Xenopus tropicalis: one gene and its partners. The protein of the gene in region 3 purifies or fractionates together with the protein of the main gene of each other region. This does not show direct contact. Links are inferred from orthologs where the notes say so. Each region holds a gene or a part of one and is shown on either strand. Other genes may lie near its edges. The genes, in order: p4ha2, cpsf1 and fip1l1.

The links.
Region 1: the proteins of fip1l1 (region 3) and p4ha2 purify together in Homo sapiens (co-immunoprecipitation; 3 studies listed by BioGRID and IntAct, with this or other methods). This does not show direct contact. The link is inferred for Xenopus tropicalis from reciprocal best matches to the Homo sapiens genes FIP1L1 and P4HA2.
Region 2: the proteins of fip1l1 (region 3) and cpsf1 fractionate together in Homo sapiens (co-fractionation; 8 studies listed by BioGRID and IntAct, with this or other methods). This does not show direct contact. The link is inferred for Xenopus tropicalis from reciprocal best matches to the Homo sapiens genes FIP1L1 and CPSF1.

Annotation. Positions count from the first base shown.
Region 1 is NC_030679.2:36,754,355-36,758,006, forward strand, and holds part of p4ha2 (prolyl 4-hydroxylase subunit alpha-2 precursor), read left to right. Parts: intron 1-1,482; coding exon 1,483-1,659; intron 1,660-3,652. UniProt on the Homo sapiens protein: Catalyzes the post-translational formation of 4-hydroxyproline in -Xaa-Pro-Gly- sequences in collagens and other proteins.
Region 2 is NC_030682.2:153,938,607-153,942,258, forward strand, and holds part of cpsf1 (cleavage and polyadenylation specificity factor subunit 1), read right to left. Parts: coding exon 3,628-3,652; intron 3,134-3,627; coding exon 3,049-3,133; intron 2,896-3,048; coding exon 2,754-2,895; intron 1,988-2,753; coding exon 1,835-1,987; intron 1,262-1,834; coding exon 1,085-1,261; intron 547-1,084; coding exon 480-546; intron 395-479; coding exon 347-394; intron 1-346. UniProt on the Homo sapiens protein: Component of the cleavage and polyadenylation specificity factor (CPSF) complex that plays a key role in pre-mRNA 3'-end formation, recognizing the AAUAAA signal sequence and interacting with poly(A) polymerase and other factors to bring about cleavage and poly(A) addition.
Region 3 is NC_030677.2:39,662,057-39,665,708, forward strand, and holds part of fip1l1 (pre-mRNA 3'-end-processing factor FIP1), read left to right. Parts: intron 1-1,795; coding exon 1,796-1,844; intron 1,845-2,053; coding exon 2,054-2,111; intron 2,112-3,652.

The DNA of each region.
Region 1 (3,652 bases), on a different chromosome or scaffold from region 3:
TTTGGCACCTTGAACCTTTAGGGTCCCACATTCTGTACTGGTACTACTGACTTGGCCACTGGGATTCAGGACTTAGGGGTGTAGTTGAAGTCACCCAGTGACAAACAGTGCGCACCCTGGCTTAAATAGTGTGAGAATGGCAGCATTTTAAATTTAATTCAGTAAAATTCAGTGGATGAAATCTCATTGGCTGTTTCCTATTTTTAAACTGCGGTCCCCCAGTGACCAACTTTGCAAAGTTTGGGGACTCAGGCATACAAATTGTGGGACTGACAGCATTTTACACTTCACCATTGAAAGTAAATAGGTGAAATGTGATTGGCTGTTGGTGGCTCCGTCCATTTTTTTTCTAAATTTGAATGGCAAATACCTAGTGACTAACTTTGGAAAGTTTAACAACCCTGGAATTAATCTAAAATAATGGCATCAGTTTAAATATAAACCAATGAAATTTAATGGGTGGAAATGGATTGGCTGTTGGTGGCTCCGCCCACTTTTTCTAGTTCTGAAATAAATAGCATGAGAAAGGCAGCATTTTAAATTTAAACCAAAAATCCAATAGGTGAAGTCTGATTGGCTGTTAGTGGCTCCACCCACTTTTTAAAACCTAAAAATGCAGTCCCCTAGTAACCCTGGTGTTAATACTGTGAGAATGGCAGCAGGTTGAATTTCCCCAATGAAAATCAATAGTTAAAATCTGATTGGCTGTTGGTGGCTCCACCCACCTTTTCTAACTCTGAACCACAGTTATCTGGTGACTAGCTCTGCAAAGTTTGGGGACCTTAGTATTAATATTTTAAGAATGGCAGCAGTTTAAATGTAAATGTATGAAGTCTATAGTTGAAATCTGATTGGCTGTTGTTGGCCCCTCCCACTTTTCTAAGCTTGGAACGTACTTACCCAGTGACAAACTGTGCAAAGTTTGGGAACCCTGACATTAAACATGTGAGAATGGCAGCAGTTAAAATTTCCCCACTGAAAACAATGAAAGAAATGTGATTGGCTTTTGGTGGCCCCACCCACTTTTTCTAACCTTGAGTTCGTAATCACCCAGTGACTGACTGTGCAAAGCTTGGGAACCCTGCATCAAACCAATAAAATTTAATAGGTGAAATCTGATTGGCTGTTGGTGGCTCCACCCACTTTTTCAAAGCTGCAGTACCCTAGTGACCAACTAGGAAAAGTTTGGGGACCCTGGTGTTAATACTGTGAGAATGGCAGCAGGTTGCATTTCTGCAAAGTCAATAGGTAAAATCTGATTGGCTGTTCACAGCTCCGCCCACTTTAGGGCATCAAACAATCATCATATTTTCATTCAGGCTGACCCCATGACTATGTGATTCATGTTTGGGGAGTGTAGCCTATGTTTGTGCCCTTGGGCTTACTACATGTAATTATAGACCTATATGCAAGCACATATATTACTGGATTGTTTACCTTGTCTGTTTGCTAATTGGTTTATCTTTTATACTGCTTTTACAGAATCCACGAAGGCAAAGGAGACTTTTCTGTAGGTATCATAACGGAAACAGAAGTCCTTACCTTATCTTGAGTCCAGTTAAAGTGGAAGACGAATGGGATAGTCCACGTATTGTCAGATATCTTAATGCCTTATCTGATGAAGAAATTGCGAAAATAAAGGAACTGGCAAAACCAAAGGTAACTCATTTACTATTTGCTATAGAGATTTCCTTGTAGAAATTGTGAATTTTAAATTTGCCGTAGTCTAAGCAAGAAGTAAACTACTTAAGTGCTTTTTCCCAAACTGATCATTGTGCAAAGTGTGGAGCCCTTAACTGAACATTTGGGGTACCAAAATAAAGTCTAATTTTATTGCAGTCTGTCTTTTTTTTAACCAAACTGTCCTGAAAGCCAAAGATCCCCTTAAGGACAAAATGTATCTGCATATACATTTGTTTAATTTTACAGGGCTGTGGAGTCGGTAGATAAATTCTCCGACTCCTCAGTTTCTGATACTTCCGACTCCGACTCCTCTGTTTTTAATATGCTAATGTATTTTATACATTCATACAGTCAATGAAAAGCATGCTTCATGGTCACTCGTGTTCGTTTATGCACTGCGTGCATTGGGCTTTATTCTTATAGCAGAGAAGTAATTAATTATGACTGTTTGTGAATTGGGACATTTAAACTTGCTTTATTTATTTTTTTTTTATTCCCATTTAAACTTAGTAGGAGTCGGAGTCGGTTCATTTTTTGCCGACTCCGACTCCAGGTACCCAAAATTGCCTCCGACTCCTCGACTCCGACTCCACAGCCCTGTAATTTTATTCCGTATAGCCATACCTCCGCAGTGCACTAGTTTGACATAGTTAGGTCAGTATGATTAGTTGATCAGTTTTCTGCCAGTCAAGAATATGCTTTTATTTTAATTGTTCAGATCTATCCATTAGCCACCACATATATGCACCCTGCACACAGTCAAAATTAGGTTTATGCAAAGTTAATTGCAGATCTTCCTGTATATAAACACTAGGTCTATTTTTAGCCTAATTAAAGTGTGTTACATACTTGTTGGCCAGTGCATGGAGCGGTGACAGATGAGGAACTGAAGAGGATCTTATGAACATCCTATTTATTTCTTGCTATTCTGATCAGTCCTGCTCTCTGCACAAATGGTTGGTATAATATTGATAACAATAGAAAATCATCCATACTGTGTGTTGCCACTTATACACACACTGTCTTTTTGGCTGATATTGCTTGTATAACCTTAATTGAAGTCAGGCCTTTGAGTTAATGAGATTGGTGGTTGCACTGCTCTAGAAAAAAAAGGCTTTTTGAGACATGAGACATTCCTATGTCAAAAGTAATATCAGACAATCTTAGACAAAGAATTGTAGAGAGGCGGAAAACTGGAAAATGCTACTAATGCATCTCTAAAGGTCTGGGTCATCAACCCACAGCAGGATAAATTGTCTATAAATAGAGAACATTCAGTACATTTTAAACTCTCCCTAGGAGTCTTATAAAGATCATGGCAAAAGTACAACATGCGATTCTGAAGGAAGTGAAATAGGGCAACAGCAAATAAGCTGCAGAAATCTCTCTATTCTCCTTAAATAAAGTTTGCATTCATGTGTCCACCATAGAAAAACCCTAAACCAAAATATTTTATTGACTTAATGAGAAGAAAACTAAAGCCCTGGAATGGCCATTTACATAACCTAACCCAATTGGGACGCTCTACTATGATTTCAAGAGAGCTATTGATGATGGAATACCAGAAATATTAAAATGCTGAAACAGATTTGTAAAGAGCGGGGGTTCCCAACCTTTTTTATCTGTGAGCCACATTCAAATGTAAAAAGTGTTGTCAAGCATAAAATGTACCTGGGGGTACCAAATAGGGATTTTGATTTAGTTATCTGGTAGCCCCTATGACTGGTAGTCTACAGTAGACTAGACTATGTTAGGCAGTACATCTGTTTTTTATGCAACCAAAACTTGCCTTCAAGCCAGAAATGTAAAATAGGCACCTTTTTTGAGGCCACTGAGCAACATGTCAGCAGCTAGTAAAGGTTATTATACCTAAAGGTAGTTCTTATAGTTAGAACAAGGTACTTATTTAGTTCTGGACTAAAAGCTTTGGTTGTTTGTGTGTTCTAACCTAAAGTGGGAGTGTTTGTCT
Region 2 (3,652 bases), on a different chromosome or scaffold from region 3:
CGCGGGGCAGGAGGGGCACACAGGGGCAAGGGAAGGGGAGTAGGGCGGCACACAGGGGCAAGGGAAGGGGAGGGGAGTAGGGCGGCACACAGGGGCAAGGGAAGGGGAGGGGAGTAGGGCGGCACACAGGGGCAAGGGAAGGGGAGGGGAGTAGGGCGGCACACAGGGGCAAGGGAAGGGAAGGGGAGTAGGGCGGCACACAGGGGCAAGGGAAGGGGAGGGGAGTAGGGCGGCACACAGGGGCAAGGGGAGGGGAGTAGGGCGGCACACAGGGGCAAGGGAAGGGGAGTAGGGCGGCACACAGGGGCAAGGGAAGGGGAGTAGGGCGGCACACAGGGGCACTTACCTGCAGGAAGGTACATGTACAAGATAAGGTTTCTGTCCCGATCTGAAACTGAAAGGCAGAACATAAGGATTAGAGACCCCTCGGGGGAGAGAGAAGAATATGGGCCAGACAAGGGGGTGCAGGTTGTACTCACCCAGGAAGCCGAGCTGGTTATTATCCACAAGAAACTCCACACTGTAAACTTCCAGCGGCTTCACATCCTGCCGGGGCAATAATGATGGTTATGGGGCAATAATGATGGTTATGGGGCAATAATGATGGTTATGGGGCAATAATGATGGTTATGGGGCAATAATGATGGTGTAGGGGCAATAATGATGGTTTAGGGGCAATAATGATGGTTATGGGGCAGTCAGGGAGCCGCACCCATATCATTGGTCTCAGTTACTGCCCCCCAACCCTTGTAACCTCTAACACTGAATTATAGAAACAGAAGTTGGGGCGCAAGACAAGCATGAGGTACCTGGGGTGCCACTAAGGGCTGTGATTGGCTATGTGGGAGCCCCTATATGTACAGGCAGCCTATGGGAGGCACCCATGCCCTTAATGCCTCCTTATCAATTCAAACTAAGCCCCTGCTCTGGGGGCACTGGGAGCAACATGTTACCCCCGAGTCCCTGTGGGTACCAACCCAGGGCAGTTTCCCTACAGAGCAGGGATGCGCCTCTATGATTGGCTGAGTTGCCCCGTTTGCCCCAGGGGTAAGTGCCCCATTACTGGCAGCCAGGCGTAACTCACCCTGCTAACGAGGGACAGGGTCTTGCTCTCCTCCTGGTAGCGCAGTAACGAGATGCTCTTCATTAGATCCGCCGCCAGGATGAAGTTCTTGACGCTGATCATCTGATGGATGTAGAGCTGAGTGTCTATGAACGCCATTCCCGTCAGGTCGTTGTCCTTTAGGCTCCACAGGAAGATCTGCCAACACAAAGCACTGTCAGCCCCGCCCACTCCTGTGCCTCTCTACTGGCACAGCCAACCAGTGTCAGCCCCGCCCACTCCTGTGCCTCTCCACTGGCACAGCCAACCAGTGTCAGCCCTGCCCACTCCTGTGCCTCTCTACTGGCACAGCCAACCAGTGTCAGCCCCGCCCACTCCTGTGCCTCTCTACTGGCACAGCCAACCAGTGTCAGCCCCGCCCACTCCTGTGCCTCTCTACTGGCACAGCCAACCAGTGTCAGCCCCGCCCACTCCTGTGCCTCTCTACTGGCACAGCCAACCAGTGTCAGCCCCGCCCACTCCTGTGCCTCTCTACTGGCACAGCCAACCAGTGTCAGCCCCGCCCACTCCTGTGCCTCTCTACTGGCACAGCCAACCAGGGTGAGCCCCTCCCACTCCAGTGCCTCTCTACTGGCACAGCCAGCCAGTGTCAGCCCTGCCCACTCCTGTGCCTCTCTACTGGCACAGCCAACCAGTGTGAGCCCCGCCCACTCCTGTGCCTCTCTACAGAGCCAGATCCTATTTGGGGGATTCTGCCCCTTCTTGACTTACCTTCTGCCCTATTGCAGTCACTAAATACCCGTTGCAGTGACACAGGGCGGTGACTGGTCCTTTCTGCTCCTTTTCATACAGAACCTTGAACTTGTTCTTTGTGAGCGGCTGCCCCGGCTCCGGAACCACTTCAATTATATCCATAATGAGAATCTGGGGGGGCAGGAAGTTCCACTGTGAGGGGGGAGGGAACGGGGGGGCTAAGCAAAGAGGCAGCGAGGAAGGAGGGAGGGAGGAGGCGGGGAGGTGGGAAGGGAGGAGGCGGGGAGGTGGGAAGGGAGGAGGCGGGGAGGTGGGAAGGGAGGAGGCGGGGAGGGAGGAGGCGGGGAGGAAGGAAGCAAGGAGGTGGAAGGGAGGAGGCGGGGAGGAAGGGAGGGAGGAGGCGGGGAGGAAGGAAGCAAGGAGGTGGGAAGGGAGGAGGCGGGGAGGAAGGGAGGGAGGAGGCGGGGAGGAAGGGAGGGAGGAGGCGGGAGGAAGGAAGCAAGGAGGTGGGAAGGGAGGAGGCGGGGAGGAAGGGAGGGAGGAGGCGGGGAGGAAGGAAGCAAGGAGGTGGGAAGGGAGGAGGCGGGGAGGAAGGGAGGGAGGAGACGGGGAGGAAGGAAGCAAGGAGGTGGGAAGGGAGGAGGCGGGGAGGTGGGAAGGGAGGAGGCGGGGAGGCGGGAAGGGAGGAGGCGGGGAGGGAGGGAGGGAGGAGGCGGGGAGGTGGGAAGGGAGGAGGCGGGGAGGTGGGAAGGGAGGAGGCGGGGAGGTGGTAAGGGAGGAGGCGGGGAGGTGGGAAGGGAGGAGGTGGGGAGGGAGGAGGCGGGGAGGGAGGAGGCGGGGAGGAAGGGAGGGAGGAGGAAGGGAGGGGAGGGAGGAGGCATGGGTATAAGCAGGATAGAGGGGGCAAGGAATAGAAGATATTCTCCCTGCTACTTACCCTCCCCCTACAGGTCACCTCCTCCCCCTGCATGAGGCAGGTACCCACAGCAATGTACCCCTTCAGCCCCGACACCGTCTCCTCACTTTTCAGGCTCACGGTTTTCATACATGTGGCGTGTTCCCACTCCTCCAGGTCTATCCTGAAACCGAGAGCAGAGTGTGAGCTCTTCTGTCCAACCCACAGTCAGGGCTGGAACTAAAGCCCCACGAGAGAAGGGAGGGGCCAAGAATTGAGAGCAATGATAGCCAATAGAATGACACTGTACAGCAGCCCGGGGGGGGGGGGACAATACCTGGTGTTGGGGATCGTTTCCCATCTCAGCGGGGAAATCAGCTGAATTGAAAATGCTTCCTGCACAGGTGAGATGTAGCGCTCGTCTGAAACAGCACAGAGACCAGGTGAGGGGGCGGGGCAGTAACCCATGGCAACCAGCTGCAAGTCAACAATGAGAGCAGGAGGGGCAACTGTGCAAACACTGGAACAGGAGTCACAGAGAAGGGAGGGAGGAGTCATAGAGAAGGGAGGGTGGGAGGAGTCACAGAGAAAGGAGGGAGGAGTAATAAAGGAGTGAGGGAGGAGTAATGGAGAAGGGATGGAGGGTGGGAGGAGTCAGAGAGAAGGGATGGAGGGTGGGAGGAGTCAGAGAGAAGGGATGGAGGGTGGGAGGAGTCACAGGGAAGGGAGGGCCGGAGGAGTCAGAGAAGCAATGGAAGGTGGGAGGGCGGGAGGAGTTATAGAGAAGGGATGGAAGGATGGGAGGAGTTATAGAGAAGGGATGGAGGGTGGGAGGAGTTAAGGAGGCAGCCAATCACAGACAGGGCTGTACAAGAAGGCAGAAGACTAGATGAAGGACATGGAGAAATGGCCCAACCTCTTTCTATCGTCTCGAACTCTTT
Region 3 (3,652 bases):
ACTGCAGTAAAAAACTCCACATGTACCTCCTCTACAACCCCATGCCCTTAACGGCCCTGCTCCTTCCCTGCACCACCTGTTCCTCTGACAAGTGTTACTATCTTTTTATTTGTTTTCAAAATTCAGAGTTGTGCAGTGGTGTTAACAGGCACCTACCTGGACCTGGTTTCAACTGCGCATGCTCTGTCAGCAGTTGCACAAGTGGTGTGAGATGGTGCCTGTTAGACCTGCTGCACAGCTTGTCATGGGAACAGGTAGTGTGGGGAAGGGGGCCTTGAGACCTTTGTTTTAGCACTACATGACATGAGCATAAAAAGAAAGAATAAACTCTTCAAAGCAAGGAAACCAATTGCCAGAGTTTTGACCTTTAAGTGGTTGTAAAGTAAAAAAATAGAAGTCTTGTTTGCAGGTTCCATTAAAAAAATAAAACTATACTTTGTAAACATTCATTAATAAAAATTTGTACCGTTATAGAAAAAAAAAAAAAAGTTCTACCTACAGCCCCTCCCCACAATATCCTTTGCTCCACTTGTCTACCCAATGCATAAATGTTTAGATGGCAACTGGCTGCACATCTCTGAAAACCATCAGATGTTTTGTATTCTGGATGTCAGGAAAGTAGTGCAGGGTTGTTTTATGTGTTTGCTTCTCACTCACACTGCTTTCCTGTCATCAAAAACAATCCTGCACACTGCTTTCCTGCCATCCTGAACATGGAGTAGTTTTATAGCATTCCAGCAGCTCTTTAAAGATTTATAGGTTGAGTAATCAGAGGTAGTGAGAGCTTTATTTGTTAAAGAGGAAACTGTAAACAGACTATTCATTTTTGTCTTACAACCCTTTTAATTGTATCCCTTTATGCTGTAAAAAATAAGGCATTTGTAAGTATAACTACCAGTGTTTACCCCCTTTAATTGATGGCTGTATTTTGAAGGGATACTGTCATGGTTTTTATGGTATACCTTTTTATTTCTATCAAATAATTTACTGTACCATTTTCAAATTTCTTGAATTTCTTGAACCAACAAATGTATTTTTTTAGTTGAAATATTGATGTGTAGGTACCATCTCAGTGCATTGTGCCTGAGACTGAGCTTTCAGAAGGAGCCAGCGCTACACATTAGAACTGCTTTCAGGTAACCTATTGTTTCTCCTACTCCCATGTAACTGGAGGAGTCCCAAGCTGGACTTGGATTTCTTAGTATTGAGTGAATGAAGTTTATAAAAGCCCAGGTCACATGCCTGTGGCACCCTGGGAAATGAAAAATATGGCTAGCCCCATGTGAAATTTCAAAATAAAATGTAAAAAAAAAATCTGTATTTTTGAAAAACTGATTTCAATGCAGGATTCTGCTGGAGAATCTTTCCCGTGACAGTATTCCTTTAATTCACACAGAAATTCCACAGTAAGTGGAGGGCACACTAGTAAACAGCACAAAAATATAGAAATTTCTTGATGTTTTCTGTAAAGAGATTTCCTTTTGGCAATAACTCAGATTGGAGATCTTTTTGAGTGCAGACCCATTTCATGAAAATTGTATTTTGGTTCACTGCCTGGTGTTCCCCTGTGCAATCACTTGCTTAGCTGAATATTGCTGTTTTGGTTGAAAACTTAAAGGGGATATTAACGCTAGCAACTAGGCAGTGGGGTTACTAGGTATGCTGAACAATAAGAGAAGAAAACAATGCTAATGAACAACAAATTGCACATTCTAGGGATGGGTGTCTTAGGTGATATACCTTGAGCATTCTTACATGAGCAAATACCAAAGGCTTTGTGTTTCTTTTTGTGCAGAAGAAAATGAAGCTGCTGCACCAGATGATGATGAAGAAGACATAACAAGGTTTGTAGAGTTTGTATTGCTTCTGTGGAGAGGTTTTTAGATATCTAGGTTTCAGGTGTCCCTCTTTGTACTGCAAGAATATAGATATGCACAGCTACCATCATAAGTTAGCCTGCTTTAGTTTAGTGTTAAGGATGGGATAAAACATTTAATTTAAAAGTTTGCCCTATTCATTTACTTGAAGTTTAAGTATTTTATTTAATCCACAGCTCTCACCCTGTACCTGGAATCGAAGCAGAGGCTACTGAGAATGGTGTTGTGAAAACGGTAACATTCCAGTTATTGTTACTATAGAGAAGGGATATTGAACTTGTGTGAAGTATGTCTCCCAGGATTCTTGAATTGTACTTTTTTTACAGCTGTTCTACAATAGAGAATATGACATTAAAATGATGTATTAAAATGCACATTTAACTTTGTTTGTTTTACATGGTACAATAAAAACATTTATTTAATGGGTTAAAATTTTGTGCATAATTTGTTGAATTTCTGTTTTTGTAAATGGTTCTTTGTTTAGTAGCTGGTGGGTTTACTGGAGCTTTGTTATCCTTTTGTAATATTGTCATATAACCTAATAGCAGACTATCTCTTGTTAACTTTCATGGGAATTGCCTTATGCCTTTTTATGCCAGGCTTCAGGGGGCTCTCCAACTGAAAGGTGCTGCTATGACTATCAGTCTTAAATTAGCAAGTTGTTGGCACTTGGAGTAACTGACATACAAGGGTTTTAAACCCCCAAAATTTAATTGATGTACAGTTACTCAGGGTAATGCAATTTGCATTGATTTTCTATTTTGAGATTTTAATTTTAAGACTTCTAATACCAGGCTTTTGTCTTAACAGAGGCTCCACAGCCCCAAGGGTTAACGGAATATAGAAAGTGCATAGACAGGGTTGCTTACACTCAGGGCTTCAAAATATATATATAACCGGTAAAATCTTAAAACCTCTAAAAATAGAAAATTAATATAAATCGCAGAAGTGCTCAGAGGGCTACTTTTAGTATGTTCACAAATATTCATTTTTAGTTTAGTTCCCATTTCACAGCTTCCAAACCACACGGGCATCAGAAGCATTTGCTCTCCTATGTATGTGTATATAATGCAATCTAATCCCAAAAGTAGTTTGCAGATTTGCCTGCTTTCTTTGCTCACTATTCCAGCAACTGTTTTGTCTGTCTTCCCCATTCTAAGAGCACCCCCGGAGGAAATATCATTCACACTTGTGCTGGCTGAGGTAACCCCCATTGAGCCCCAGTTTAATAACTTATTAATAAAGATGAAACTGCCCTGACCCAGACTGTAGCTACCATATGCCAGCACAAAACAGCATGTACTTGTCGGACTCCAGGACAGTGGATAAAATTTTTTATTTAAGATAAAAACCTTTAGCTACCATATGGTTATAAATTTGCATAATGTTCAGTAACTTCTAGCAACCAATTGGCAGGTAGCAGTTTAAAAAAAAAACAAAAAAACATCTAATTGCTTTCTATTATTACTATACTCCCAAACAGGCTCCCCCCACCTACATGACCTCATTCTAATTTAAATGTATCACATGGTATAACTGAAACAGTGATAGTGGAAGAGCCCTGGAAATGAGAAGTGTTGCATATGACAAATATTTTTGTCTTTTTCACTTTTCCCCTTCTAGGGTAAGAGCTGGTACATTTTCTGTGCTTGACCTATCATTCTTGCATTACTTATAGTAGGAATATCAAAATACAAAGTATTTAAATTTGTCTGAAAACTATGTATGATGTTGTGTAAAGTACTGTAGCTTTGTAAAAAATATTTTTCTTGGTA